3 linked regions of the Anolis sagrei genome follow. The protein of the gene in region 3 interacts with the protein of the main gene of each other region in a pairwise test. Links are inferred from orthologs where the notes say so. Each region holds a gene or a part of one and is shown on either strand. Other genes may lie near its edges. The genes, in order: PRDX4, CDKN2D and NR4A1.

Region 1 (10,397 bases), on a different chromosome or scaffold from region 3:
CAGTGCTGTCCTATATATGCTTATTAAGAAGTAAGGCACATTGAGTTCAAGGGAATTGCATTATTAGTGCAACATGCTTAGTGAATTAGTCTATGTGTATTTGGTACAGTGGCAGCTTATGAATGGATCTGTTCTGTATCTGCCCTTTTAAATTATTTTCTAAAAGTCCTCCAATATCTAATGGTTGGTTACCACATAAAATGAATCTTGAAGCAGTTTACAGTGGAAATTGATAGCTTTTGTCTATGGTCTAATAATGTAGACACTCAAAAAAGGATCTATCAAGCAGACATTTCTATTGCTAATTTTGCCACTTCCTCAACCAAATTATTCTTGGCAGCAACTGATGTTCTTTGCATTGCTTTCCCTAGCAATTTTTACAAACTAAAAATATAGTGCCATTGCTCCTCAAAAGACAGTAAGTTTCTAGAAACAGTAGCGTATATTCATTCGTTGTAGTAATAAGTAGCACAAGATGTATTTTGTCCACTTCAAAATGCCTTCTTAGGCCAACACATTTCCTAGTCACGAAAAGAAATGTTTCCCGTCCAGTATCTGAACAAGCTCTGTCTCCCCGCTCTGCACTTTCAAACTAGTCAGCTTTGCATGACGTGTCCTTTTCCAAAAGTTCTTATCAACGTAGGCAAAGAAAGCAAATACTTGGAACAAAGATGGAGCTGCTACTGGTCATTTCCACCCCGCTATGGCTAGAGGAGGGGGGGGGGGGGAGAAGGGCTTTTTAATGCTTGCTTTTTCAGACAGATGAACCTTTTTGGCTTTTCTCTGCAGCTCTTTTTAAAAAGGGGAACTCACAAAGCCACATACGAATAGCCTGTGGTGATGTATACAAAACAGATTTGTGGTGACATAAAATGCCTCTGGGTATTGCCTAAGAAAATCCTGTGGAATTCATGGGGCCACCAAAAGCAGAGAGACATCATGAAGGCACACACAAAAGAAGGCAGGACAATTTCTGTCACAAGAGATCTGTCTGTTAGTCATTTCAGTCTCTGTGCAAGCCTGTATTTTTTGCAATTGAGCAACGCAAGCATCATCTCTTGGAATCAAAAGAACAAGTTTGAACACCCTGATTTTCTTGCCTCCTCAGAATGTCTCCAAAAACCTGAGTAGGGACACGTCTGCATATCTCTATTTCCAGAGGTTTTTCCACTCATTTTCTCCTGCCCAGCAAAGGAACAAAACCGATAGTCTGAAGGTGCATCTACACTGTCAAACGAATGCAGTTTGATACCCCTTTAACTGCTCTGTACTGTGGCATTCTGGGATTGTAATTTGGTGCTCAGGTCTGCTCTTTGGCAGACCTTGTAAAACTACAAACCCTATGATTCAATAGCACTGGGCCATGGAAGTTAAAGCGGTGTCATTCGGTATGAAATGGACAGTGAAGATGCACCCTGAGTTGTGTGAGAACTCATTACTCCTGTGTGGGCCAAAAGTCACAAAAGGGTCCCAATATTACAGAACTCATTTATGCTGTGTTTTCATATTCACAATACCATTTGAAAGACACCTTTGAAAGAAGGAATTCTAAAAGGTTTAAATTGTATTATTTTAGCTCTGTTAGCCACTTTGAATCCCCCTCAGAAGATGAAAGCATGATATAAATAATTATAATTATAATTTTGGGCCCACCCTGTATTGATGCTGAGTTTTGAGAGGGCCTATTGCTATTAATACCAGCACAAGTGCCCAGTACTAATACTGAGTTGTGAGAGGACTTAACGGCTATTTGTGAGAGGGCTTTGCTATTAGTACTAATAAAAGGGCCCAGTATTACTACTAAGTTCTGTGAGGATGCGGTACTGTTTCATTATCTGGAACACAAGGGTCCAACATTAATACTGAGTTGTGAGAGGACTTATTGCTATTAATGCTAACACAAGAGTACAGTATTAATATTGCATTGTGAAAGGACTAAGTGCTATTAATACTAACACAAGGACTCAGTATTAATACTGCGTTGTGAGAGGACTAAATGCTGGCTGAATCTACACTGCTCTATATCCCAGGATCCGATCTCAAATTATCTGCTTATCCCAGACTATCTGGCAGTGTAGATTTATGTAATTCAGTTCAAAGCAGATAATATGAGATCAGATCTTATAGAGCAGTGTAGACCCAGCTGCTATGAATGCTAACACAAGGGCTCTCAGCATTAATGCTGAGTTGTGAGGGGACTTATGGCTATTTGTGACAGGGTTTTGCTATTAATACTGACACAAGGGCCCAGTATTAATACTGAGTTCTGTGAGAACTTATTGCTATTAATACTGACACAACGGCCCAGTATTAATACTGAGTTGTGAGAGGACTTAACACTATGGATACTCCCCTTCAATACTAACATAAGGGCTTAGTATTGAGATGTGAGAAGACTTAATGCTATTAATGCTAGCACAAGGGCTCAGTATTAATACTGAGTTGAGGACTAAATTCTATTAAAACTAGCACAAGGACCTAACATTAATCCTGAGTTGTGAAAGGACTAAATGCTATTAGTACTAGCACAAGAGCTCAGTATTGATACTGAGTTGAGAGAGAACCAAATGCAATTAATATGAACACAAGGGCTCAGTATTGATACAGAGTTGAGAGAGCACCAAATGCTATTAATATGAACACAAGGGCTCAGTATTGATACTGAGTTGAGAGAGGGCTTTGCTACTAGTACTAACACAAGGGCTCAGTATTGATACTGAGTTGAGAGAGGGCTTTGCTACTAGTACTAACACAAGGGCTCAGTATTGATACTGAGTTGGGGGGAGAGCTTTGCTATTAGTACTAGTACAAGGGCTCAGTATTGATACTGAGTTGAGAGAGGACTAAATGCTATTAATACGAACACAAGGGCTCAGTTATGATACTGAGTTGGGGGGAGGGCTTTGCTATTAATACGAACACAAGGGCTCAGTATTGATACTGAGTTGTGAGAGGACTAAATGCTATTAGTACTAATTAAATGCTATTAGTATTAATACTGGGATGTGAGAAGACCTCTTGCTATTAGTAGTAGCACAAGGGCCCAGTATTAATACTGAGTTGTGAGGGTTTTTGCTATTAATGCTAACACAAGAGCTCAGTATTGATACTGAGTTGAGAGAGGGCTTTGCTATTAACACTAACACAAGGGCCTAGTATTGATTCTGAGTTGAGAGAGGACTAAATGCTATTAATACTAGAACAAGGGCCTAGTATGGATACTGAGAGAGGACTGAATGCTATTAATACTACAAGGGCCTAGTATTGATACTGAGTTGGGAGAGGGCTTTGCTATTAATACTAACAGAAGGGCCTAGTATTGATACTGAGTTGAGAGATGGCTTTGCTATTAATACAAGGGCCTAGTATTGATACTGAGTTGGGAGAGGGCTTTGCTATTAATACTAACAGAAGGGCCTAGTATTGATACTGAGTTGAGAGATGGCTTTGCTATTAATACAAGGGCCTAGTATTGATACTGAGTTGGGAGAGGGCTTTGCTATTAATACTAACAGAAGGGCCTAGTATTGATACTGAGTTGAGAGATGGCTTTGCTATTAATACTAATAGAAGGGCCTAGTATTGATACTGAGTTGGGAGAGGGCTTTGCTATTAATACTAACAGAAGGGCCTAGTATTGATACTGAGTTGAGAGATGGCTTTGCTATTAATACTAATAGAAGGGCCTAGTATTGATACTGAGTTGGGAGAGGGCTTTGCTATTAATACTAACAGAAGGGCCTAGTATTGATACTGATTTGGGAGAGGACTAAATGCTATTAATACTACAAGGGCCTAGTATTGATACTGAGTTGGGAGAAGACTCATTACTGCTAGCACAAAAGGGAAGCACCGAATCAGCCACAAATGAGGAAAAGCGTGAGGGGGGGCGGGCGAGGAGGGGTTTAGGCGGGAAGAGGCCCAGCTGGCTCTCCTTCCCTTCGCCTCCCCCCCCCCGCGGGGTCTCCATGGCAACCTACTCTTGGCCTTGCTGAGGTGCAGCGAGTGGTCCGTGACATGGGCCCTGCCCGCCTCGCCCGGGTACACCTCTCCCCCGGCGTAGTAGTGGCACTTCTCGTCGCCCCAGCCCTCCGCTTCATCCGGCGCCGAGATCATGGCCAGCAGCAGCACCAAAGACAGCCGGAAGACAGCCGTTAACGGTCGCCCCCGGGCCGCGGGGCCGTCGCTCGCTCGAGGCTCCATGGTTGCCTCGGGAATGGATCGCGCCGCACGGGAAAGAAGGCAGCTGCAGGCCCCGCGCGGGAGGAGGAGGAGGAGGCGGAGGGGGAGGGGGAGGGGGAGGAGGAGGAGGAGGCCGCCCAGGCTGGGGGCGGAACCCAGGACCGTCCCCCTGAGGGAGGGAGGGAGGGAGGGAGGAGGAGGGACGCAGAGGCCTCGCCCTCCGCCCCCTCCTCCTCCTCCTCCGCCCCTCACGTTTCGCTCCTGCCTTCATTATTATTTCTGAGTTCTGCCCCTTTTTTGACCCTGTGAGGGTCGAGTGTTCCACTGGTCCTGTGGTGACCCTCTTTCAGGTTCAATTATGTATACCTCAGATGTTTAAGGCTAGACGTGTTTGGGATTTCGGTTTTGGAATAATTGCAGTACACCACCTATGGGCAAAGTTGGGTCCTCCCTCCAGGTGTTTTGGACTCCAACTCCCACCATTCCTCGTAGCCTCAGTCCCCTTCCTTTTATTTTATTTATTTTATTTATTTCAGTTACTTCTACCCCGCCCTTCTCACCCCCGAGGGGGGACTCAGGGTGGCTTACAAAAAAGGCACAATTCGATGCCTGTGTCAAATATACATACATACTTAAAAGCAATTAAACAGTTAAAAGGTTAAAATCATCAGTATATAACACAATAGTAAACAATCTCATGCTCAGTGTTCAGAGTTCCATAAATCCATTCCGTTCGGTCAATTCCTGCCCATCATCGAGGTGTTTCCTTAAGCTGCCAGAATGTCCAAAAGCCTGGTCCCACATCCAGGTCTTCAATTTTTTTCTGAATGAGAAAAGGGAAGTCGCTGATCTAATCTCCCCGGGGAGTGAGTTCCACAGGTGAGGGGCCATTACTGAGAAGGCCCTGCTCCTCGTCCCCGCCAGCCTCACTTGTGATAGAGGCGGGGTTGAGAGCAGGGCCTCCCCAGAAGATCTTAGACTCTGAGGTGGGATGTAGAGGGAGATCCGTTCGGACAGATACACTGAGCCGGAACCGTATAGGGTTTTGTAGGTCAAAACCAGCACTTTGAATTGTGCTCGGAATTGGATCGGCAGACAGTGGAGCTGACACAACAGGGGGGTGGTATGCTCCCTGTATGACGCTCCGGTGAGCAATCTGGTTGCCTCCCGCTGGACTAGTTGGAGTTTCTGAGCAGTCTTCAAAGGCAACCCCACGTAGAGTGCGTTGCAGTAACCCAATCAGGATGTAACAAGAGCGTGGACCACCGTGGCCAGATCCGACTTCCCAAGGTACGGGCGCAACTGGCGCACAAGTTTTAATTGTGCAAAAGCTCTCCCGGCCACCACCAAGACCTGGGGTTCCAGGCTCAGCGATGAGTCCAGGATCACTCCCAAGCTGCGAACCTGCGTCTTCAGGGGGAGTGTAACCCCGTCTAACACAGGCTGTAATCCTATGCCCTGTTCGGCCTTACGACTGACCAGTTGGACCTCTGTCTTGTCTGGATTCAGTTTCAATTTGCTAGCTCTCATCCAGTCCGACACAGCAGCCAAACACCGGTTCAAGGTCTGGACAGCCTCCTTGGTGACAGGTGGAAAGGAGTGACAGATTTGGACATCATCTGCGTAGAGATAACATCTCATTCTGAAACTCCAGATGATTTTTCCCCCTCAGCTGCTTAAGGGTTTTGGGGGGGGGGGGGATGAGTTTCGGGGGGGGGGGGGGCTGAGTCTAAGAGGGTCTACCCTAGCAAACCTTTTGTATCATTACCTCAATACCCCCATGCATATGGGATATATTGAGTATGGTGATCAGATCATGATATGAATAAACATAACAGTTTAAATAATGTACCAGTAAGGCCTTTTCATAGACCACCATGAGAATTTCGGGGGGGGGGGGGTGTGTGTTAAGCCCCAACCCCCCCTCCCCCCCCCCCCCCCACCTACATGCCTGCCTCAAAGACAAGGCAACAATGCTTTGCAGGAGTCTTAACTTTCTATCCACTTTCTATCATTTTTCCCTGTCCTGTTCCTATATGTATCAAATACATATTAAATGTATCAGCTATATGATTTCTGCAAAAGTAAACCACAGGAGTCTTCACTTTCCTGCTGACCCCACTGAGGGATTTCCCGGACAGAAGGAGTTCCCCAGCTGCCCCAGACCAAGGTGACAGTCGGTACCCACTGTGTGAACATGTGAATCAACAGATGGTTTCTGCTCTTGATCTGATAAGCACCAGTTGATATTTGTTCAACCAAATGTCCCACTTGAGCTCAGAGATCACTAACCATAAAGACAAAGACTCACAATATATACCCAAGTCTGGACCCTGTTGCAAAAATCACCATCCTTTGTTTCAGGGATCCTGGACATTTGACTATCACAACCCCATCTTTATCACCCAAAGCTGGACTATTATGATAGAAGCCCCCTAAGTCCTCCTGATATGATCACAGGAACTTCCTGGGGCTATCTCCTCCCAGAAGGTCTTTTAGTCTTTAAAGCAGCAAAAATAAGCTTATTTCCTCCTGAAAATGTGATCCTTTCAAATGTTTAAAATAGCTAGCATACCCTCTCTCAACCTTCTCTTCTTCAAGTTAAACATACCCTGCTCCTTAAGCTACTTCTCCCAGAGCTTAGCTTTGACATTTTTGTTTCCCTTCTCTGGATACATTCTAGCTTGTCAATATCCTTCTTGAATTGTGGTGCCCTAAACTGGACACAGTATTTCAGGTGACGCCTGACCAATGCAAAGACTGGGACTGTTTTCTCAATCTAGACAATAGTGTATAGTTCTTGTTTTTGTTTTTGTTTTAAATTAATTTGCTGAGATCTAAATAATTTGCAACATTGTCACAATTGCATATACACAACAACATAGTATTATTTTTACCCCATATAACACAGTCTATTGATTACATTCTATCCTTTACAGATCTATACATCTATTACTTATCTCTATCCACCTTTCTTCCTCCCACCTCCCTCTGGGAACAGTTATGACTCTATTCATTGGTTTACATTGTTTGTTCGGTCATGGAGATTATTTGGTTCATTTTATTGTCCTTTCTCTTTCTCTCTGGCTATAAGCTCTTTCCACTTCAACTCCCAGTCCTCCTTTGGATGACCATTCATTTACTTTGTTCTCCTTTCAGTTATGTAATCTTGGAACATATACTCTGATAAATATTCAAGCCATTTTAAAATTTCCCACTTGCCTTCATCTTTTCATCCTAAGGCAACTGTTGCTTGGGTACTATAGTACTTGTGAAGCATTCTAAAATAACACTGGCCTTTTAAAACTGCTGTATCACACTGCTGATTCATGTTAAGCTTGTGGTCTACTAAGACCCTAGATCGCTTCTATTGTAGTGCTGTCAAGCTAGCTTTCACCCATTCTTTTTTCTGTGCATTTCATTTTTTTTCCTGCCTAATGTAGTACCTTATCACTCTTTATTGAGCTTACATGATGAAATTGTGCCTGTATGAGGACCAGGACTTGGATGATTTAGTACATAGTGATATAACGATAATACTGTTACTTGTGTGCCAAAAATAAATTTGCATACATAAATGCCTACACTGATGTTTAAGGAAGATAGGAATAGTTTGATTGCTCACCTATATTACTCTTTAAAATAATTTGAAAAGTTGATCTATTCCATTACTAGCTCTTATGTGTTAGAGCCATATGGTACTGTACTTGCTAGCATATGGTAAAGCAGCAAGATTTTTAGTGCCACATGACTGGTCCTTAAATTCCATCTAGCAAAAGTTGTTGCTTGAGCTCTAACAGAGGACAGCATTACATCTTTCCTGAATTTTAATGAATAAAATATGTTATTGTCAAAGGAGGGCTTGGTTATGCATTTTTCTTTATTATGTTGTTGCTGTCAGTGCTTCTTTGGTCCTGACATCCTCCTGGGCCTTTCTGAAGATAACATTTATTTTGTTGTTTCCAGACTTGAATCTCATTTAGTTCTCCTTCATCTCAATCATAAATCTGCATGTGGTAATCTCCTGGCTTATTCTCATAGAGTTTTCCTTCATCTTTATCATAAGTCTACATGTGGCAATCTCCTTGTTTACAAAGCACCTGTATCAGCTCCTCAGTTCAGCATCATTTGATTATCACATTCTCAAGCTAGCTTTCTTAATAGCCACAAATATTAGAGCAAGTGAAATGTGTACCTTAGAGTGGAACAGCCATATCTTACCTGACACACAGAAAAGGTAGTGCCTAGGCCTATCTTAGATTGTGTTGGTTTTCCGCCTAGCTTGTTAGGTAATTCTTCTGTTGTATTTCTTTGGCACTTCTTGATGTCCACAGGGCATTGGCCCTCTATACTGACTGAATCGTACCTTTCCATGCCACCCAGCTGTTGTTTGTCTGCCACGAGCAAAAGGAAGGCCAGCCCTTGTTGGCCAACCCATACAAATATTTGCCAAGTAGATTGAAAAAAAAAGTAATATGTTAGTCTCCAGAAAGCTAGCTAAGTTGGAACTTCCTGTATTTCTCCATCATCACTCTTTGAGAGACATTGCTGCTTTGACCATCTTTTAAAGAAGTGCCAGAGCTTTGTTGAGGGAGGATTACTTGGATTCAGTCCTACACTTTAATTCAGATAACAGAGTTTGTTGAAGGACTCTTATTCATTGAGACACCATATGTCAAAGCCAACTTGACAGCAAGTAACATCAAAACTACTTTGATGCTTATGCTGAAGCAAATGAGACATTTGGAAGATCCATACTACCATCAGTTTCTTCTCTAATGTATCTCTCGTCTGTCTCATGTGATAAATTTGCTAATTGGTGTTCACATGTGTGATGCATTGGGACCACAAGAAGAAAGACCATTCAATCACTCTATTACAAGCAGTCAGAAAAACGGTGGTAGTGAGGATTGAATGCACAAAGGGGGCCAGTGGTATTATTTATACAGCTGATAGTACCTAGTTTTGCTTATACAGTTCTTGCTGTTAGATTCATTGCGTCACATGATGATACCAGGCTGGCTTAGTGGTATAGGGCAGACTTTTGCTCCCTGCAACCTGTCATCTGAGGCCTGAGGTGGTCACCTTACTTTGTTTGTCAATAAGACTAGCTCTGGCATATTTTCATTGGCAGTGTCAGAAGCAATCCATCTTAAAATACTAGAAACATTGTGTAAGGGGCAAGGATTTCCCACTTTCACACCTAGGAACATACAGTCATTGGACAAGCTTAGCTAAAGCAAGGCAAAAGTTTTAATAGCAGATGCTCCATAAATGCAAGTTATCTATCCATGTGAATGTCTATGGAGTTTTTGAATAAATTGGAATTGTTTTCAGAAGCAACTACTGTGTTATCCCAAGGTAGTTAATGTTTCAATAGGTGGCAGTGTTCTCTTATTTTTATATTTAGATGGTAGATTTTAGAATAAACAAAAACTGAGATAATAGACAAAACAAAACAAAAAAACCCCCACCAAAACTGGATTGTTTGTCTATGGGAGGCTGTTTTGAAGATTGGAAATTATAGCTGATTCAGAATACCGCTGCTGTTGTCCAATTGAATAATTGGCTCAATTGCCATTTAATCTACACTGATTTCTGGTGTAAACTCTCCCATTAAGAAGGAAGTGCTTGTTGCTTTTTTTTTTTAAGCTTTAGATGATTTTTGTGGGGCTGGGTTATCTGAAGGACTCCCTGCCTGTTAAAAGTGGCTGGGGAAGATCTATTCATCTTGCTGCCATATGCTTGCTGAGAATGATAGAACATAGCTTCTTAATGGGAGAGTTTAAGCTCTAGAACTTCCTTGAGACTTCTGAAAGATAGTCAAGACATGTTTTTATGTTGTGCTGCTCACAGAATTTTGTTTTCTGATTACAAAACATTGAGAGGAAACCACATTTAAATGTAAGTTTAAATATGTGGAGGTGAAACTTATTACATAGTGATGAATGCATAACTGAGCATTATGCATTTGTGACTGCCTTGTATTCATGATCACTGCAAATCCCCCTCATTTAGGGAATGCATAGAGACCATGGAAGTCCCTCAATGCCCACTTACCAGGCAGCAACTGTGATCAATCAGGGAATGTTTCTTTTGTGTTCAGGATGCAGCTGACTAATGTCTCACCTACTGATACATACATATATAAAAATGAATTAAATTAATGTTGAACTGCCAAAAGGTCTTTCTGGCTACATTTTTCATACTGTACA
Region 2 (10,551 bases), about 30 Mb from region 3:
CAAAGACGAGTGACAAAAAGTTACTACTTCCCTGTGCCTTTAGACCGCAATGAGCTATAAATGTAAGAGGAATAAATTAATACTTTTAAATGAGGGGTGTGTGTCATTGGTCTACATGGAGTCCCGTCCCCACTCCCCATTGGCTTTTCTGCTTAAACCTGGCTCTAAAGGCAAGACATGGCACGGGTGACTTTGGCTCCTGTGCTGCCCAGTTCTCACAATAGCCAAACTGGTTGCTTCCCATGTTTTCTTAACTAGCCTCGATGAGTAACATCAAAACTGGCAGCATCTGGTCTGTTCTGCAAATTCGGGAGTAGCCTCCAAGATGTGCAGGAGAGCCTCTCCCGTACAGACACTATTCCACATCCAAGATATTTATTTATCATGTCAGGAGTAAACCAAACAGTTGTATTGCATTTTTAACAAACAAACAAACAAAACACAAAGTTTGCAAGCTTGGTAGTTGATTAAATGTCCTTTGACCAGTAGCTGGCCACTTGGAGTGTCTCTCTACAAGAAGGTCCTCCATTGTGCATAGAGCAGGGCTCAGGTTGCATTGCAGCAGGTGGTCTGTAGTTTGCTCTTCTCCACACTCGCATGTCATGGATTCCACTTTGTAGCCCCATTTCTTAAGGTTGTCTCTGCATCTTGTGGTGCCAGAGCGCAGTCTGTTCAGCGCCTTCCAAGTCGCCCAGTTTTCTGTGTGCCCAGGAGGGGAGTCTCTCATTTGGTATCAGCCATTGGTTGAGGCTCTGGGTTTGGGCCTGCCACTTTTGGACTCTCGCTTGCTGAGTGCCTCTGTAGATCTTGCTTGCTGAGTGTCTCTGTGTTCCAGCGAGTGTCTCTGTAGATCTTAGAAAACTATTTCTTGATTTAAATCGTTGACATGCTGGCTGATACCCAAACAGGGGATGAGCTGGAGATATCACTGCCTTGGTCCTTTCACTATTTGCTGCTACTTCCCGGCGGATATCAGGCGGTGCAATACCGGTTAGAAACGACCAGAAGCTACATCCAAGATGAAGGGTTAGAAGGCATGATCATCAAATTTGCAGACGACACCAAATTGGGAGGGAGAGCCAATACTCCAGAAGAGAGGAGCAGAATTCAAAACAATCTTGACAGATTAGAGAGATGGGCCAAAACTAACAAAATGAAGTTCAACAGGGACAAATGCAAGATACTCCACTTAGGCAGAAAAAAATGAAATGCAAAGATACAGAAAGGGGGGCACATGGCTCAAGAACAGTACTTGTGAAAAAGATCTTGGAGCCCTCGTGGACAAGTTAAACATGAGCCAACAATGTCATGCAATGGCAAAAAAAAAAAAAAAAAAAAGCCAATGGGATTTTGGCCTGCATCAATAGGAGCATAGTATCTAGATCCAGGAAAGTCATGCTACCCCTCTATTCTGCCTTGGTTAGACCACAACTGGAATAATATCATAATACATGCTAAAACATTTAAACAGCATAAAACACAACAAAGACAATAAAAACAACACCATTAGCATCTCCTTATTATCAAGCATTGTCCAGTTCCATTGTCAAGTCATCAGATTTCTTATGTCAGTTACCTATATCTGTTACTCTGCATTTGTAAACGCTTGCTCAAATAGCCATGTTTTAATTTGCTTCCGAAATGTTAAGAAGGAAGGAGCAGATATGATCTCTCTAGAGAGGGCGTTCCATAGCCGAGAGGCCGCCACTGAGAAGGCTCTGTCTCTCATTCCCGCGAGACGTACTTGTGACGAAGGCGGGACCGAGAACAGGACCTCCCCGGATGATCTCAAGGTCCTCGATGGTTCATAAGGGGAGATGCGTTTGGACAGGTTTAAATTATTCTGGATCATTTTACGCTAATTCAGATATGACCCCAAATTTCTTATATAACGTTTAGTATGGGAGTCAATTTTACTCTTGATCTTTTATAAATAATATTCCAATATCCCAAATGTCTTTCATCTCAAAAGCTGCCCATGAAAGAGAAAAAAATGTGGAATCAGTATGAAAAATCAGTGTGTGAATCTCTCATTCAGATGGCAAATCAAACATTGAAACCAGCCACTACATACCTGGTAGCAATGCTTGGAACACAAAACAACTATTAGGGAGACTGTAAATCACATAGTTGGCCTTGTGTCTTTTTGATTTCAAAATACATTTTAAATTTGAGTTTTCGCGGAACAGACTTTAGGAACGGTGTCCCCCCCACCCCACATGATACAACATTCCTGCAAGGAGCTGATTTTAACAGGAGGAGGAGGAGGAAGAGGAAGAAGAAGAAGAAGAAGAAGAAGAGGAGGAGGAGGAGGGGGGAGGGGGAGGGGGAGGAGGAGGAAGAAGAAGAAGAGGGGAAGAGGAGGAGGAGGTGGAGGAAGAAGAAGAGGAGGAGGAGGAGGAGGAGGAAGTGGAGGAGGAGGAGGAAGAAGAAGAAGAAGAGGAGGAGGAAGTGGAGGAGGAGGAGGAAGAAGAAGAAGAAGAGGAGGAGGAGGAGGAGGAAGTGGAGGAGGAGGAGGAGGAGGAAGAAGAAGAAGAAGAAGAAGAGGAGGAGGAGGAAGTGGAAGAGGAGGAAGAAGAAGAAGAAGAGGAGGAGGAGGAGGAGGAGGAGGAGGAAGTGGAGGAGGAGGAGGAGGAAGAAGAAGAAGAAGAGGAGGAGGAGGAGGAAGTGGAGGAGGAGGAGGAGGAGGAAGAAGAAGAAGAAGAAGAAGAGGAGGAGGAGGAGGAGGAGGAAGTGGAGGAGGAGGAGAAAGAAGAAGAGGAAGAAGAAGAAGAAGAAGAGGAGGAGGAGGAGGAGGAGGAGGAAGAGGAAGAAGAAGAAGAACAACAACAACAACAAGGTCATTAATAACACACATACACACACCACCAAACACCAATATGATGCCAAAGTAAACTGCAGTAACAAGGTGAGAGGAGAGGTCACTGTATTCTCAAGAGATCTAAGTTGGTAACTGCCTTAAAGTCGACTTCAACTTCTGGTGACCCCATGAGTGACCCTTAAGTCACCCCATCCTCAACAGCCCTGCTAGGAGCCCCCAGTGGCGCAGTAGGTTAAACCCTTGTTCTGGCAGGACTGCTGACCGAAAGGTTGGTGGTTTGAATCTGGGGAGCAGGGTGAGCTCCTGTATTCAGCTCTAGCTTCCCATGCAGGGACATGAGAGACGTCTCCCACAGGATGGTAAAACATCCAGGCGTCCCTTGCAGATGGCTAATTCTCTTACACCAGAAATGACTTGCGATTTCTCAAGTCACTCCTGACATGGAAAAAAAAACAGCCCTGCTGAGATTTTGTAGTTATAGTGTTCCTTGGTTGAGTTTCTCCATCTGGAATGCGGTCTCCTCCTCCTCCTCCTCTTGTTTTGCTAAGCATTATTGCTCGCCAGATGTCCCACATGTTATGGGATTCCCGTGACACATATCATCCTAAGTGATGTGTTCAGCTGCATAGGAACCCAGCAGGACAGCGACCTCTGAATGCAGAAGTGGAAGTGCCATCTGCAAGGCTTCCAAAGGGAGGCAAAAGTCAGGCCTTGAGGGATGGGCGCTGCTGTACACACACATCCAATGGGCCAGATCCTTGTAGTGGTACCATTCTTTGGGGACAGGAGTTTCTGAATCGCAGTGTGGTCAATTATGGTAACTGGAAAGATCTGGAGCGGGGAAGCTAACCAGAAGTCCAAAAAACAATACAGATTTAATTAATCCAAGTCGCCTATCCCTGGCCCCCTCTACACTGCCACACAAAATCCATATTATCTGCTTTGAATATTAGGCCCTTTTTACACAGCCCTTCTATCCCAGGATCTGATCCCAGATTATCTTCTTATCTCAATATGGCAGTGGAGACTTCAAAGCCGGTAGCCTGCTGTTGCAGTGGGTTAAACCACTGAGCTGCTAAGCTTGTTGACTGAAAGCTTGCAGGTTCGAATCCGGGGAGCGGTGTGAGCTTCCACTGTCAGCCCTAGCTTTTGCCAACCTAGCAGTTCGAAAACATGCAAATTTGAGTATTATAGAATCATAGAATCAAAGAGTTGGAAGAGACCTCCTGGGCCATCCAGTCCAACCCCCTGCCAAGAAGCAGGAATATTGCATTCAAATCACCCCTGACAGATGGCCATCCAGCCTCTGTTTAAAAGCTTCCAAAGAATGAGCCTTCACCACACTCCGGGGCAGAGAGTTCCACTGCTGAACGGCTCTCACAGTCAGGAAGTTCTTCCTCATGTTCAGATGGAATCTCCTCTCTTGTAGTTTGAAGCCATTGTTCTGCGTCCTAGTCTCCAAGGAAGCAGAAAACAAGCTTGCTCCCTCCTCCCTGTGGCTTCCCCTCACATATTTATACTTGGCTATCTTATCTCCTCTCAGCCTTCTCTTCTTCAGGCTAATCATGCCCAGCTCCTTAAGCCGCTCCTCATAGGGCTTGTTCTCCAGACCCTTGATCATTTTAGTCACCCTCCTCTGGACACATTCCAGGTTGGTGGAGGCTCCTTCTTTGAAAGCTTTTAACAGAGGCTGGATGGCCATCTGTCAGGGGTGCTTTGAATGCAATATTCCTGCTTCTTGGCAGGGAATTGGACTGGATGGCCCATGAGGTCTCTTCCAACTGATTATTTAGACAAGCTTTGCTCTGAAAGAACTGGGTGGATACGTTAAATTCTATGTCCCCATATGATTCTATGTCCCTGCACGTGGAGCTGGAGCTGACAGAGCGAGCTCACCCGCGCTCTCCCCGGATTTGAACCTGTGTGGTCTTTAGTCCTGCCGGCACAAGGCTTTAACCCACTGCACCACGGGGGGCTCCTTGGAATGTGTCCAGAGGAGGGCGACTAAAATGATCAAGAGTCTGGAGAACAAGCCCTATGAGGAGTGGCTTAAAGAGCTGGGCATGTTTACCCTGAAGAAGAGAAGGCCGAGAGGAGACTAGGACGCAAAACAATGGCTTCAAACTACAAGAAAGGAAAAACTTCCTGACTGTGAGAGCCGTTCAGCAGTGGAACTCTCTGCTCCGGAGTGTGGTGGAGGCTCCTTCTTTGGAAGCTTTTAAATAGAGGCGGGATGGCCATCTGTCAGGGGTGATTTGAGTGCAACATTCCTGCTTCTTGGCAGGGGGTTGGACTGGATGGCTCATGAGGTCTCTTCCAACTCTATGATTCTATAATTATCTGATTGTCTGCCTTGATATCCCGGGTTATATGTCTGTGTGGAAGGGCCCTGAGTCTTCAATGCCAGATTATTTGGGATTGTAGGGATAGATCCGACCTGGGAGCTGGCTTCAGTCCTTTGCTCCTTCACATCCAGGGCGAGCTATTTTAAGAAAGTCACTCCCGCCCCCTCCCTTTTTCTCCTCAGGTCGTGACCCCTCGGCGGAGTGGAGCGAGGGAGGGAGAGGGGGGAAAGCCAGGAGCGCGCCTCTTCCCGCCCGAACCTGCGTTTGAATCGCGGAGGCCCGCCCAGCCGTCCGCCTGGGGAGAGCCAATCAGGAAGCGGGAAGCGCCGGCTTCTGCCCGGAGCCGCTCCCTCATTGGCGGCGCGCGGGGGAAAGGGGCGTGTCCAGGGGGCAAGTTACAATGTCTCCCACGTCGAGGGGAGGAGCGAGACGGGAGGGGGCAAAACAACAAACAGCGCTTGGGCACGTGTGGGCGGGGCCATGAGGAAGGAGAGGGGACAGAGAGAGAGAGGGAAGGCAGAAGGGAAGGAGAGGCAGCCCTGCCGGCCGCTTGCCCTCCTAACGCCTCGCCTCGGAGAAGCCCCGCCCTGAGCCGGGCGAGCCCCTTCTTTGCGCCGCCCTGCCCTGCCCTGCCTGCCCGGCATTCCCGTCCGCCGCCTGCCAGCCAGCGCGATTCCTGCCTCGTCTCCGTTTGACAGCGCTGCCAAGGAGGGAGCTCGGAGGTAGGCGCCCAGGAAGGGGAGGGCAGGGCAGGGCAGGGGATCTGCAGAGGGCCGCCTCCCCCCTCCTCCTCTCCCTCCCTCCCGCAGTGCTTGGGGATGCTGCGTGCCCAGCCGGGTCTCATCCCTCCTTTCTCTGCCTCCAGGCGCCTCGGCCTCTCCCGTGGGGGATGCAGCCGGGCGGCGCCGAGGTCCGCGCCGGGGACCGCCTCACCAGCGCTGCCGCCCGAGGAGACCCCCAGGAAGTGCGCCGCCTTCTCCGGGAGGAGCTCCTCCGGCCGGACGCCCGAAACCGCTTCGGAAAGACCGCGCTGCAGGTACGCACTCCAGCCTTCCCACACCTGTCAGGATTTAGTATTCTTATTCTTATTCTTATTATTAAAGGGTTAAAGCCTCACAGGTTCGAATCCGGGGAGAGCGCGGGTGAGCTCCCTCTGTCAGCTCCAGCTCCCCATTGCGGGGACATAGAATCTAATGTACCCACCCAGTTCTTGTGGGTTAAAGCCTTCAGCCGGCAGGACTGAAGACCCACAGGTCACAGGTTTGAATCCAGGGAGAGCGCGGGTGAGCTCCCTATGTCAGGTCCAGCTCCCCATTGCAGGGACATAGAATCTAATGTACCCACCCAGTTCTTGTGGGTTAAAGCCTTCAGCCGGCAGGACTGAAGACCCACAGGTCACAGGTTCGAATCCGGGGAGAGCGCGGGTGAGCTCCCTCTATCAGCTCCAGCTCCTCATGCGGGGACATGAGAGAAGCCTCCTACAAGGATGATAAAAAATCCGGGGAGAGCGCAGGTGAGCTCCCTCTGTCAGCTCCAGCTCCCCATTGCAGGGACGTGGAATCTAATGTATCCACCCAGTTCTTGTGAGTTAAAGCTTTGTGCCGGCAGGACTGAAGACCCCACAGGTCACAGGTTCGAATCCGGGGAGAGGGCGGGTGAGTTCCCTCTGTCAGCTCCAGCTCCCCATTGTGGGGACATTGAATCTAATGCATCCACCCAGTTCTTGTGGGTTAAAGCCTTGTGCCGGCAGGGCTGAAGACCCACAAGTCACAGGTTCGAATCTGGGGAGAGCGCAGGTGAGCTCCCTCTATCAGCTCCAGCTCCTCATGCGGGGACATGAGAGATGCCTCCCACAAGGACGATAAAAAACAAGCTAGTTACTAATAAATGGTTGTCTTGACTGAGTCACACACTCAGCCTCAGAGAGCCCCCGGTGGCGCAATGGGTTAAACCCCTGTGCCGGCAGGACTGAAGACCGACAGGTCGCAGGTTCAAATCCTGGGAGAGCGCGGGCGAGCTCCCTCTGTCAGCTCCAGCTCCCCATGGCGGGGACATAGAATCGAATGTATCCACCCACTTCTTGTGGGTTAAAGCCTTGTGCCGGCAGGACCAAAGTCCCCACAGGTCACAGGTTTGAATCCGGGGAGAGCACAAAGTGAGCTCCCTCTGTCAGCTCCAGCTCTCCATTGCGGGGACATAGAATCTAATGTATCCACCCAGTTCTTGTGGGTTGAAGCCTTGTGCCGGCAGGATTGAAGACCCACAGGTTGGAATCAGGGGAGAGCGCGGGCGAGCTCCCTCTGTCAGCTCTAGCTTCCCATGCGGAGACATAGAATCATATGGGGACATAGAATCGAATGTATCCACCCAGTTCTTTCAGCTTGTCTAAATAATCAGAGAATCCTAGAGTTGGAAGAGGCCTCCTGGGCCATCCAGTCCAACCCCATTCTGCCAAGAAGCAGGAAATTTGTATTCAAAGCACCCCCGGCAGATGCCCATCCAGCCTCTGTTTGAAAGCTTCCAAAGAAGGAGCCTCCGCCACACTCCAGGGCAGAGAGTTCCACTGCTGAACAGCTCCCACAGTCAGAAAGTTTTTCCTTTCTTATAGTTTGAAGCCATTGTTCTTCATCCTAGTCTCCTCTCAGCCTTCTCTTCTTCAGGCTAAACATGCCCAGCTCTTTAAGCCACTCCTCATAGGGCTTGTTCTCCAGACTCTTGATCATTTTAGTCGCCCTCCTCTGGACACATTCCAAGGAGCCCCCGGTGGCGCAGTGGGTTAAAGCCTTGTGCCAGCAAGACTGAAGATGCACAGGTCAGAGGTTTGATTCCAGGGAGAACGCGGATGAGCTCCCTCTGTCAGCTCCAGCTGTACCGCCTGTGTATGTAACCACCCTATCCAAGAAATCATGTTGGACATCAGTTCAGCTGCCATGGCTCAATGCAATGGAAGAATTAAATATGCAGTTTTACAAGGAGTTTAGACTTGGACTGCTTCCTCACCAAACTACAAATCACAGAATTCAACAGTATTGAGCCCTGGCAGTTCAAAGTGGTGTCAAACTGTATTCATTTCACACTCTAGACTAGGGGTCCGCAAACTGACTTGTGGGCCAGATGTGGCTCTTCAAGATCCTTTACCTAGGGTCACCCAAAGCGACTTGAAGACACACAACAACAATCCTAATTAATTTGACTCTCTCATTAACCAAAAAGAGCTCCCGATGGTGCAATGGGTTAACGCCTTGTGCCGGCAGAACTGCTGACCAACAGGTCAGAGGTTCAAATAAAATCACACATTTTGTGCTTTGAACTGGAATATAGGGCAGTGTGGACTCAGATAACCCAGTTCAGAGCAGAGATTGTGGGATTTTTCTGCCTTGTTATTCTAGGTTATATCTCTGTGTGAAAGGGCCCTGAGTCCACACTGCCATATAACCCAGTTCAATGTGGATTTTATAAAACCATGTGGAAGGGGCCAAAGCCATCTATATAAATAAAAATGTAATGTTAGTTTGTGGGATTAACATAACTCAAAAACCACTGGACAAATAGACACAAAATTTGGACGCAATACACCTAACAGTCCAACAAGTGTCCATCAACCCAAAACACACACACACACATAAAACCCCAGCAGAACAGACTTAAAAACCCGCAAAATATATCATATATACATATACAAATACACTCATGTACACATGCACACATTCATACACACACACATATATATGCACAAACACACACAAATATACATATATACACATGCACACATACATGCACACTTACATATATTCATATACATGTACATACACATATATACACACAAATATTCATATAGACAAATACACGCATATACACAATATGCATGTAAACATTCATACACACACGTATATATATGCACAAACACACACAAATATACACACATACATATACATACACACATATATAATACACATGCACACACAAATATACATATATACACATGCACACATACATATATACAGATACACATGCACACACAAATATACATATATACACATGAACACATACATATATACATATACACATACACATATATACACACAAATATTCATATAGACAAGTACACACATATACACCATATGCATGTAAACATATAAATACACATATATACACAAATATATACACACACATATACACACACAAAACACATATACACAGATGACCACAGCAACACGTGGCAGGGGATGGCTAGCAGAAAAGACTTAGAAAGACAAAAACCAGAAATTACATTACAACGCATGCACAAAACCACATATATACACATATACACAAATATTTTATTTTGTTGTTGTTGTTGTTATTATTATTATTACATTTATTATTTTATTATTGTTGTCATTATTACATTTATTTTACTCTATTTATTATTGTTAATGTTACATTTATTATTTTACTGTATTGTTATTATTATATTTATTATTTTGCTCTATTATTACTGTTATTATTACATTCCATTATTTTACTCTATTATTATTATTATTATTTTACTCTATTTTTTATTATTGGAGGACCTGTAAGCATATTCACTTTGAAAAAGGTTAGAATAATGGTTTAATTAGAGTTGGACAGTCTTATCTTGAATTACAGTTTTATGTAAATATTCAAAAACATTTAACCTAACGATGCCTAAATTAATATAATGTTATTGGTATCTATTTTTATTTTGAAATTGACCAGTAGCTGCTGCATTTCCCACCCTTGGCTTATACTCGAGTCAATACATTTTCCCAGTTTTTTGTGGTAAAATTAGGTGCCTCGGCTTATATTCGGGTCGGCTTATACTCGAGTATATACGGTATATTATTATTATTATTATTATTATTATTATTATTATTATTTTCATTGGATCATAGAATCATAGAATCAAAGAGTTGGAAGAGACCTCATGGGCCATCCAGTCCAACCCCCTGCCAAGAAGCAGGAATATTTCATTCAAATCACCCCTGACAGATGGCCATCCAGCCTCTGCTTAAAAGCTTCCAAAGAAGGAGCCTCCACCACACTCCAGGGCAGAGAGTTCCACTGCTGAACGGCTCTCACAGTCAGGAAGTTCTTCCTAATTGGGCCGCATTTCTATCACTTTCATTGAATGAGAGAATGGTAACATCTTCATACATTGCCAAAGCAAGGGTCACTATGAATATGTCTTTGACTCTCTCTCTCTTCCCTTCCAGGTTATGATGTTTGGCAACGTCTTCGTGGCACAGGAGCTGCTGAAGCAAGGCGCCAACCCCAACCTTCAGGACACATCAGGCACGGCCCCTGCACACGACGCCGCCCGCACTGGCTTCCTCGACACCCTGAAGGTCCTGGTGGAGCACGGGGCCGACGTCAACCTCCCAG
Region 3 (10,060 bases):
CAGCCCCCCCCGAACCCCCCCTGAAAAAAAGTTCAGCCCCCCCCCCCCCCCGAAACGAAATCCTGGCTACGGGCCTGGCTGTACCAATTCCTACATGATCTTTACTTGAGCCATCAGTATTACTGGAGACTTCCCACAGAGTTTTAAGCTTAAATTTCTAGCCATGAGGACTAGAATTTTTTTCACTTTAGAAAGGCGAGGCAGTGTGTGACTGATGTACTGACCTGGTGCCATTGCATAGAAAATATGCTGAACTACCTAGATCTCTTGCAAACCTGTTAAATGAGCAATATGGCAAAAGAACTGTGATTGATTCCAGCAGGGGGAAAAAAACAGGTTGCAAAGGAGACTATGGCTTGTTAGCCAACCAAGAAGCAATCTACTGTATCCCCTTTGCAATTGGCATTCAAAGGCTGCAGCTCTGAACACAGATTCTGTGCAGCAAACCCAAATGAATCAAGTGTGACTTATTTCCAAAAGACAGCATGGTGTAGTGTTTTGGGAGATGGAATATCACTCCAGAAACAAGGATCCGAATCCCCGATCAGCCATGGAAATCCACTGAGTTGTCCTGAGCAAGTCACTCTCCGTCAGCCTCAGGAAGGCAAAAGCAAACCTCAATTGAACAGATGTTTCCAAGACAGCATTAGATAGGAGCACCATTTGTCAGAAATAACTTGGAAGGTACAAAACAAAAACAAAACCCCTTAAGATTATTTTGGCATGCCAATCACTACGCATATTTATTTGAGAGCAAGTTCTTTAAAATCTAGTGAGATTTACTTCTGAGCTGACAGAAGGCCAGGTTGAACAAGTGATGGTTTAAGCCAACCAACACAGTTTGGGTCGTCTAGGGATTTGTTTTTATGCCACATGGAAATACATCAGAGAGAGGGGAAAGTAGTAAGTGTAAATACAGGTGTGTGTGTGTGCCTTCAGCTGTCCTGTTGACTTATGGAGATTTCATAGATTCTGTTAGGCAAGGAAGGATTATTCAGTGGTGGCTTTGTCAGCTCCCTCCACTTAAATATAACCTGCAACACCTAGTATTCATTGAAGATTGCCCATCCAAGTACCAAGCAGGGCTGACCCTGCTTAGCTTCCATGATAGGACAGTATTTAGGGCCTTTGTGCCATTTAGCTCCTTGAGATAAACCCATGACATGGTGAATACAGTGAACAGATATGTTGATCTTTGCACACTGACACAACTATCTGCCTACAGCAACAGGTCTAGGGAATGCAACAGGTCTAGGGAATGCAATACTGGGTCTAGGGAATGCAATACTGGGTTCTAGGGATTCTAGGGAATGCAATAGGGTTCTAGGGAATGCAATACTGGGTTCTAGGGAATGCAATACTGGGTTCTAGGGAATACAGGTCTAGGGAATGCAATACTGGGAAGGGGCAATGTTAATACAGATGTAATTGTTATTGTCAGTATATTATGTATATAAATTCACTTTGGTCTTAAATTCCAACTTCCGACTTCTGGCCATGTATGCACATGTGGGTGTGTGGGTGCATATTTACAGGTGTGTGGGGTGTGCATCATACTCAAAGCTCTAGATCAGTGGTTCTCAACCTGTGGGTCCCCAGATGTTTTGGCCTTAAACTCCCAGAAATCTTAACAGCTGGTAAACGGGCTGGGATTTCTGGGAGTTGTAGGGCAAAACACCTGGGGACCCACAGGTTGAGAACCACTGATCTAGATCCTAGGAGGGAAACTGTGGAAGGGATGGAAGCCATATGGTGACTCAAGTCCCAACATGACTGAAAATGATACCTCCTTTATGATTCTGAAAATCGGTCCAAATACAGATGGTTCCTAAGGGGGGATTTTTTTGTGGTGATCTGGTATGTTTTTTAGCTGGGAAAGATCAAAATGCGAAAGTCTTCATAGATTATCATGTGACCCACAGCTTGCACATCTTTGCTTCAATTAATATTCAGAGAATCTGAGGAGGCATATCATATTCCACAAAACATTGTGCTGTGTGAAATCTGTCAACCGCAACACTTGTTTCAGGTCCAACCGAGGCACACAGCTTCCACCTTTGGAAAACATCCAGACATGGGTCAATTTTTACCTGATGCCAAGGCAGGCGCAAGGAACAATTCTGATGGAAGAGGAACAAAACCAGCTGTACTTGAACATTTCCATTTGTACACAGGAGTGGGAGGCAAAACATTTTCAACTATTTAGATTGGAAAACTCTTCCAATATATTTTTTAAAAACATCTTGGGCTTTGCAAATTCCAGACAGAAAGGGATAACCGCCTAGAAGAGGTCTAATGTCTGTTTAGGGCAGGCATGGGCAAACTTCAGCCCTCCAGGTGTTTTGGACTTCAACAGCTGTTAGGAATTATGGGAGTTGAAGTCCAAAACACCCAGAGGGCCAAAGTTTGCCCATGCCTGGTATAGCAGAAAGCACCAGTCTTTTCCCGTAGTTGAGAGAGATCAACTCCCAACCAACACAGATCCTAGTCCTGCATGTTTATTCAACAGACAAGCCAATAGAATCTAGTAAAGGAGGGGATACTATGTGCACCCCCAAATCTCACCATTTACCTATAAAGCCCTAAACGGTTTGGGTCCAGGCTATTTGTCCAATCATATCTCCCTATACAGACCATCCTGTGAACTGCTGTCAGTGGAGGAGGCCCTGCTCTTGGTCCCACCCCTGAATCAAGCTCTGTTGGTGGGAACGAGAGAGGGGACCTTCTTTGTGATCACTCCCTGTCTCTGGAACTCCCTCCCTAAAGAAATAAAAACAGCCTCCACCCTCCTCTCCTTTAAAGAACTTCACATTGTTTTGAAGATGCACTTTAGCATATGGAGAGGAGAAGGACTAAGATACTATTCCACCGGAACACTGGCAAACCTGTTTGCATTATATGATGGCTATGATACATGTTAATAAACACCTGTGTTCGCCATTTCATATGCAACTCATGTCTAACTGTTTTTAATGATTAGGTGTTTGGAAAAATAATGCTAATTCCCCCTCTCATTATAAACTATTTAGATGGGAGCTGGAGACAGAAACAAAGAAAATCAAAATTATGAATTCTTAGGGGTTTATTGTAGTGTTTTAAATGTTTTTAATTGTCTTAATGTGTTTTATAATTCTATTTTTAAAAGTTTATTTTAATTGTCCATTGTTTCAAGACATCAAATAGTCACCTATGTGTAAAGTTGCTTTGAGTCAAATCTGGGATGGAGAAAGGTGGGATAGAAAGATCATACATTAATAAATAATAATAAATTTATACATACAGTCTTGGGACTTGTAGTTTCCCAAGAAAACTCTGCTAAAGGGAAACACTGGCTTCAAGTTACAAACAGTAAGGCTTGATCTGCAGCCTGAAAGCACTTGAGTGGCCATGGTTCAATACTATGCAGTTTTGGGATTTGTAGTTTCCCAAGGTCTTTAACCTTCTCTGCTAAAGAGAAACACTGGCTTCAAGTCCCAGAAAAAGTAAGGCTTGCATCTACACTGTAGATCTGATCCAGCCTGACAGCACTTTAACTCCCATAGTTCAATACTATACAGTCTTGGGACTTGCCGTTTCCCAAGGTTTTTAACTTTCTCTACCAAAGGGAAGCACTGGCTTCAAGTCCCAATGATTAAAGCTTGCATCTAACACTGTAGATTTGATCCAGCCTGACAGCACTTGAATTGCCATGGTTCAATACTATACAGCCTTGGGACTTGTAGTTTCCTAAGGTCTCTAACATTCTCTGCCAAATGGAAAAATTGGCTTCAAGTCCCAAAAAAGTAAAACTTGCATCTACACTGCAGATTTGATCCAGCCTGACAGTACTTGAACTGTCATGGTTCAATAGTATATAGTCTTGGGATTTGTAGTTTCCAAGGTCTTTAACCTTCTCTGTCAAAGAAAAACTCTGCCTTCAAGTCCTAAAGAGTAAGGCTTGCATCTACACTGTTGATTGAATCCAGCCTTACAGCACTTGAACTGTAATGGTTCAATACCATACAGTCTTGGGAATTGTAGTTTCCCAAGGTCTTTAACTTTCTCTGCTAAAGGCTTCAAGTCCCGAAGAGTAAGGCTTGCATCTACACTGCAGATTTGATCCACCCGAGAGCACTTGAACTGCCATGGCTAAATACTATATAGGTCTTGGGACTTGTAGTTTCCCAACTTTCTCTGCCAAAGAATATTGGTGCCTCTACAAGTTAACAACTCTCAGGATTCCAGATCATTGAGTGGTGGCAATTACAGAGGTGTCAAACTGCATTCATTCCTTGGAAGGTTAGCCAATCAAAACAGGGGATGGCGCTCACCTGTTGGGCGCTGGAGGTGCTCCGTCTCTGCCTGGGCGCCATCGGGGACCCGTCCCCCGCGGTGGCTACTCGCTTTCTCTCTCACTCTCTCTCTTCGTGGATATCCTTCCCTCTGCGGCTGCTCTCTCAGCGCTCTTTGCAAGCGCGCGCTCCTTGCCGGCCGCTTTAGTGAGTGCTTTCCCGCAAGCCCCGCCCCTTTTCTCCCGGGCCCGGCCAGCAGCCTCCGTGACGTCAACGCCGAGCTCCATTGACGTCGTCGGAATCCCAGCCATCAATGGGGGCTAAAAATAGGCAGGCGCGCGCCCGGCGGAATAAGCGCGAGGCTCTCCGCCCCCGCCTCCATCCAGCCAGAGCCGGGCGAGCCTATTTCGGGCTTGTGGCGAGCGGAAGCCGAGGCCTCGCCCCCTCCCTCCTGCGAAAGCGTGGAGGAAAGGGAAGGGGCGCCTTTAAGAGGGACCCAACCCCTTCCCTCCCTCCCCCCCCCCCCTCTCTTATGGCCCATCACAAAAGGTAAGTGCCTTCTATCCCCTCGTGCCAGTAAGTGCATCTACATTGTGGAATGAATGCAGTTTGACCCCACTTCCACTGCCAAGGCTCAGTGCTATGGATTGCAACGATTTGGAGAGACAGCAAACGACAACTTGTTCCATCTTGTCTCCTGTGCTTTACTAAAAATATAATATAATATATTGTATATACATATAATATTGGTAATATTATAATGGAATACAATATAACACTACTACTACTAATACAATGTTATAATTGTATATTTTATATTACATGTAATATTTACAATATAATGGTGTAGTACAATATTAGTAATATATAATATTATATATATAATATATAATATTATATATATTAGTAATATATATAATAGGGTGGCGCAGTGGGTTAAAGCACTGAGCTACTGAGCTTGTTGATCGAAAGGTCGCAGGTTCGATTCTGAGGAGCGGCGTGAGCTTCCGCTGTCAGCCCTAGCTTGTGCCAACCTAGCAGTTCGAAAACATGCAAATGTGAGTAGATCAATAGGTACCGCTCCGGGGGGAAGGTAACGGCGCTCCATGCAGTCATGCTGGCCACATGACCTTGGAGGTGTCTACGGACAATGGTGGCTCTTCGGTTTAGAAATGGAGATGAGCACCACACCCCAGAGTCAGACATGACTGGACTTAATGTCAGGGGACTACCTTTACCTTTACCTATGTAAGAGGTTTGTGACATGCCTTTTGAACCTTAAAGATGGCTCACAGTCATAAAATAGTAGAGAGTATTAAAATACAGCTAAAATATAGCATGTTCTTTCCATGTTATGTCTACCTCTGGTACCAAAGTCTGTGTTAAAAGAAGTCTTGCCTAGGAACAGACATGACTGGACTTAATGTCAGGGGACTACCTTTACCTTATAATATTGATACTGTACTATGCTAATAATATACTATTGTATATTATGGCAACAACTCTGATTGACAACTGGAAAATAGAGGAAGAAAATGTGGAGGCCATGACAGACTTTGTATTTCTAGGTGCAAAGATTACTGCAGACACAGACTGTGGCCAGGAAATCAGAAGACGCTTACTTCTTGGGAGGAGAGCAATGTCCAGTCTCGATAAAATAGTAAAGAGTAGAGACATCAGACTGGCAACAAAGATCCGCCTAGTCAAAGCCATGGTATTCCCTGTAGTCACCTACGGATGTGAGAGCTGGACCTTAGGGAAGGCTGAGCGAAGGAAGATCGATGCTTTTGAGCTGTGGTGTTGGAGGAAAGTTCTGCGAGTGCCTTGGACTGAGAGAAGATCCAACCAGTCCATCCTCCAGGAAATAAAGCCCGACTGCTCACTGGAGGGAAGGATACTAGAGGCCAAGATGAAGTACTTTGGCCACATCATGAGGAGACAGCAAAGCCTAGAGAAGACAATTATGCTGGGGAAAGTGGAAGGCAAAAGGAAGAGGGGCCGACCAAGGGCAAGATGGATGGATGGCATCCTTGAAGTGACTGGACTGACCTTGAAGGAGCTGGGGTTGGTGACGGCCGACAGGGAGCACTGGCGTGGGCTGGTCCATGAGGTCACGAAGAGTCAGAGACGACTGAACAAATGAACAACAACAAAATGTATATATATCTTATAAGCTGCTCTGAGTCCCTTTCAGGTTGAGAAGGGCGGCATATAAATGTCGCAAATAAATAAATAAATAAATAAATAACTCTCAGGATCTGACATACTGAGCCATTGCAAGTTAAAGTGGTATCAAACTGCATTCATTTACACTGTAGATCATAGGCTGTATGGAATTGTTGGAGTCCAAAACACCTGGAGGGCCGAAGTTGGCCCATGCCTTCTGTAGATGCAGCCAGTACTTGCTGCCTATTGTCCACTGAGTTTTGATAGGGTTTTCTTGGGAGAGCAATATTCAGAAGTGGTTTCTCTCTCTCTCAGGGCCCTTCCAGACAGGCCCTATATCGCAGGATCTGATCCCAGGTTTTCTGTTTTAAACTGGATTATATGAGTCCACACTGCTAGATCATCTGGGATAAACAAAAAATGTGGGATCAGATCCTGGGATAAAGGACCTATCTGGAAGGACCCACAGCCTCAGAGGAAGGCAAGGGCAAACTTCCTCTGAGCACATATTGCAAAGAAACCCCTATGATGATGATGATAATAATAATTTAATTCCTTACCCGCCTCTCCTTGTGGCTCGAGGCAGTTACAGCATAATTAAAACACATAAAAGTTAAGTAAATGTTTCCCCTTGACATTAAGTCTAGTTGTTTCTGACTCTGGGGGTTGATGCTCATCTCCATTTCTAAGCCGAAGAACCAGCATTGTCCATAGACACCTCCAAGGTCATGTGGCTGGCATGACTGCATGAAGCGCTGTTACCTTCCCACAGAAGTGCTACCTATTGATCTACTCACATTTGCATGTTTTCAAACTGCTAGGTTGGCAGAAGTTGGGGCTAACAATAGGAGCTCCCCTTGCTCCGCGGATTCGAAACGCGGACCTTTCACCAGTAGGTTTGGCAGCTCATGGTTTAACCCGCTACACCACCAGGGGCTCCAAAACACATAAACACACACACACACATTAAGATATATTTCTATAAAAGATATATATTAAATTGTATTTCTATAAAATATATATTAAAATATACAAACACAGAATAATATGATGGGGTCACCATTGGTTGAAAACGACTGGAAGGCATGCAACAACAACCTGGGCTTTAGCACAGCGGGTTAAACCACCAGCCACAGAAAATCTTGCCGGTTGTGACCTCCTGGACTTCTTCAAGCTTGGGTTAGGGAGAGCTCCCAACCATCAGCCCAGCTTCCACTCACCTAGCAGTTCAAAAACAGTAATGTGAGTAGATAAATAGGTACCGCTTTGGCGGGGAGGTAATAAATGACGCCATGCGGACATGCCAGCAGTTCAATTGGGAGAGCGTCTAAAGACAACAAAGCTCCTCAGAATGGAAGATGGAGCAACAGCACCTCCCATGGCCGGTGTCAAGCACAGCCTCCAGATGCTGGAGATGGAAAAAAATGGGAAGCCTTTACCTCTGTTTATGTCCTGTCTGTCTGTGTTAATTGTATAATGGCACTGAATGTTTTCCGTATATGTGTACTGTAATCTACTCTGAGTCCTCTCGGGGAGATAGAGTGTAATATAAATAAAGTATATTATTATGATTATAGCACACACACCCCAAAAGTACATGGCTGCAAACCTCAAACCCCCCCCCCCCCCCCCGCGCTTGGGAGTCAGTGGCATTCAGTGCTGCGAGGCTTATCTCTGAGTATAGGAAACGCAGGTTGAAAAGTATTTTTAATGCAGACAGGAAGTACAGTCCAATGTGTCATTAATCTCAGTGAGTCCAACTGGGCTTCCTTCCAAAAAACTGTGTATAATGTTGACCATTAAGCACTTAAGACATATGGTACACTACTGCTATTCTACTTCTCTGTAAAGGTACTGGGATTGTGTTGTGAGGCTGCTGTTTTGAATGCCATTAAACTCAATCTAGTATCCCCCCCCCCCCAGTGCATCTACACTGTAGAATTAATGCAGCGTGACACCACTTTGCCATGACTCAGTGCTTTGGTTCCTTCCACACACACAGCCATATAACCCAGAATATTAAGGCAGAAAATCGCATAATATCCTTTTTGATCTGGGTTATCTGAGTCCACACTGCCATATATTCCAGTTCAAAGCAGATAATGTGGGATTTTATTTATTTTATTGTGTGGAAAGGGCCTAGGAGTTGTATTCTGACAAGTTCTTTAGCCTTCTCTGCCAAAGAGTGTTGGTAATTTACCAATCCACAGATCCCAGGCATGGCAGTTCAAGTGGTGTCAAACTGCATTAATTCCGTAGTGTAGATACACCCTTAGTAAACAGAGGTAAGAGCGGCTGGTTGGATGGGGAAAAATATGGGCAGGACTGCCACCTGTGCCTTTAAATATACTCTAGTGACTGTTGGGAAAGAGAGGTTATTATCTTATGTGTTTTTTCTGAAGCCCTTTCCACACAGCTGAATAAAACTCCACATTATCTGCTTTGAACTGGGATATATGGAAGTGTGGACTCAGATATTCCAGTTCAAAGCAGATATTGTGGTTTATTCTGCCTTGATATTCTGGGTGATATGGCTGTGTGGAAGGGCTCTGAGAGTGGACCCAGCCAAGAGGAGGACTGGCGGCGACCTTCCAAGATCACGAGATTCTTATTTTGCACTAATCTCCCAAATCCAGGCTTGTTCCAAACGTCTGCAGTTTTACAAAGATTGCATTTTTGCACATGAAGCTTAAAGTGAGTAAAATCCCTTTGTAATGCAAATATTAAAGCTATGTGGGCCAACATATCTCTTCCCTCCCCCTTTTCTGACCTCCATCAAAAGGGATCACATAACTGCTCACATAAAGATGGGAGTTGTGTCTTGCACCTTCCAGAGGATGTTCGTTTAGAAATAGATCCCTGCAATGGCATTGCAGTCATCCCTCCACATTTGTGGTTTTGACTTTTGCAGATGTGATTATCAACTTGTGATGACAAATGTTCTCTCTAAGATTATTAAGTCCTCCAATGTGACTCTGTAGTCAATTTCCTCCAGTCATGCTGGACGGTCTAGAGATTTCATCTCGCTAGAAATTTCTAGGTCCCCCAGTGCAATTGCATATTTAGCTTCCAGTGAAAATTGGCCATAGTATGCTGCAAGACCTAGTAATTCGTAGAGAGGTGTTATCTCCTATAATAACAATAAAGGTAAAGGTTTTCCCCTGACATTAAGTCCAGTTGTATCTGACTATGGGGGAGCCCCCGGTGGCGCAGTGGGTTAAACCCCTGTGCCGGCAGGACTGAAGACCGACAGGTCGCAGGTTCGAATCCGGGGAGAGGTGGATGAGCTCCCTCTATCAGCTCCAGCTCCTCATGCGGGGACATGAGAGAAGCCTCCCACAAGGATGATAAAAACATCAAATCATCCAGGCATCCCCTGGGCGATGTCCTTGCAGATGGCCAATTTTCTCACACCAGAAGCGACTTGCTCCTGACATGACAAAAAAAAAATCTGACTATGGGGGTTGCTGCTCATTTCCATTTCTAAGCCGAAGAGCCAGCATTGTCCTTAGACACCTCCAAGGTCATGTGGCCAGCATGACGTCTTGGAGCACTGTTACCTTCTTGCCAGAATGGTACCTATTGATCTACTCACATTTGCATGTTTTCAAACTGTTAGGTTG

What was found.
Region 1: the proteins of NR4A1 (region 3) and PRDX4 interact in a two-hybrid assay, tested with the Homo sapiens proteins (2 studies listed by BioGRID and IntAct). The link is inferred for Anolis sagrei from reciprocal best matches to the Homo sapiens genes NR4A1 and PRDX4.
Region 2: the proteins of NR4A1 (region 3) and CDKN2D interact in binary tests that used the Homo sapiens proteins (3 or more experiments, as listed by UniProt). The two-hybrid records come from large-scale screens. The link is inferred for Anolis sagrei from reciprocal best matches to the Homo sapiens genes NR4A1 and CDKN2D.

What each region holds. Positions count from the first base shown.
Region 1 is NC_090023.1:86,841,437-86,851,833, forward strand, and holds the start of PRDX4 (peroxiredoxin-4), read right to left. Parts: upstream 4,290-10,397; 5' UTR 4,204-4,289; coding exon 3,981-4,203; intron 1-3,980. UniProt on the Homo sapiens protein: Thiol-specific peroxidase that catalyzes the reduction of hydrogen peroxide and organic hydroperoxides to water and alcohols, respectively.
Region 2 is NC_090022.1:169,538,472-169,549,022, forward strand, and holds the start of CDKN2D (cyclin-dependent kinase 4 inhibitor D), read left to right. Parts: upstream 1-5,621; 5' UTR 5,622-5,888; intron 5,889-6,031; 5' UTR 6,032-6,055; coding exon 6,056-6,202; intron 6,203-10,382; coding exon 10,383-10,551. UniProt on the Homo sapiens protein: Interacts strongly with CDK4 and CDK6 and inhibits them.
Region 3 is NC_090022.1:139,196,319-139,206,378, forward strand, and holds the start of NR4A1 (nuclear receptor subfamily 4immunitygroup A member 1), read right to left. Parts: upstream 4,413-10,060; 5' UTR 4,311-4,412; intron 1-4,310. UniProt on the Homo sapiens protein: Orphan nuclear receptor. Binds the NGFI-B response element (NBRE) 5'-AAAGGTCA-3'. Binds 9-cis-retinoic acid outside of its ligand-binding (NR LBD) domain.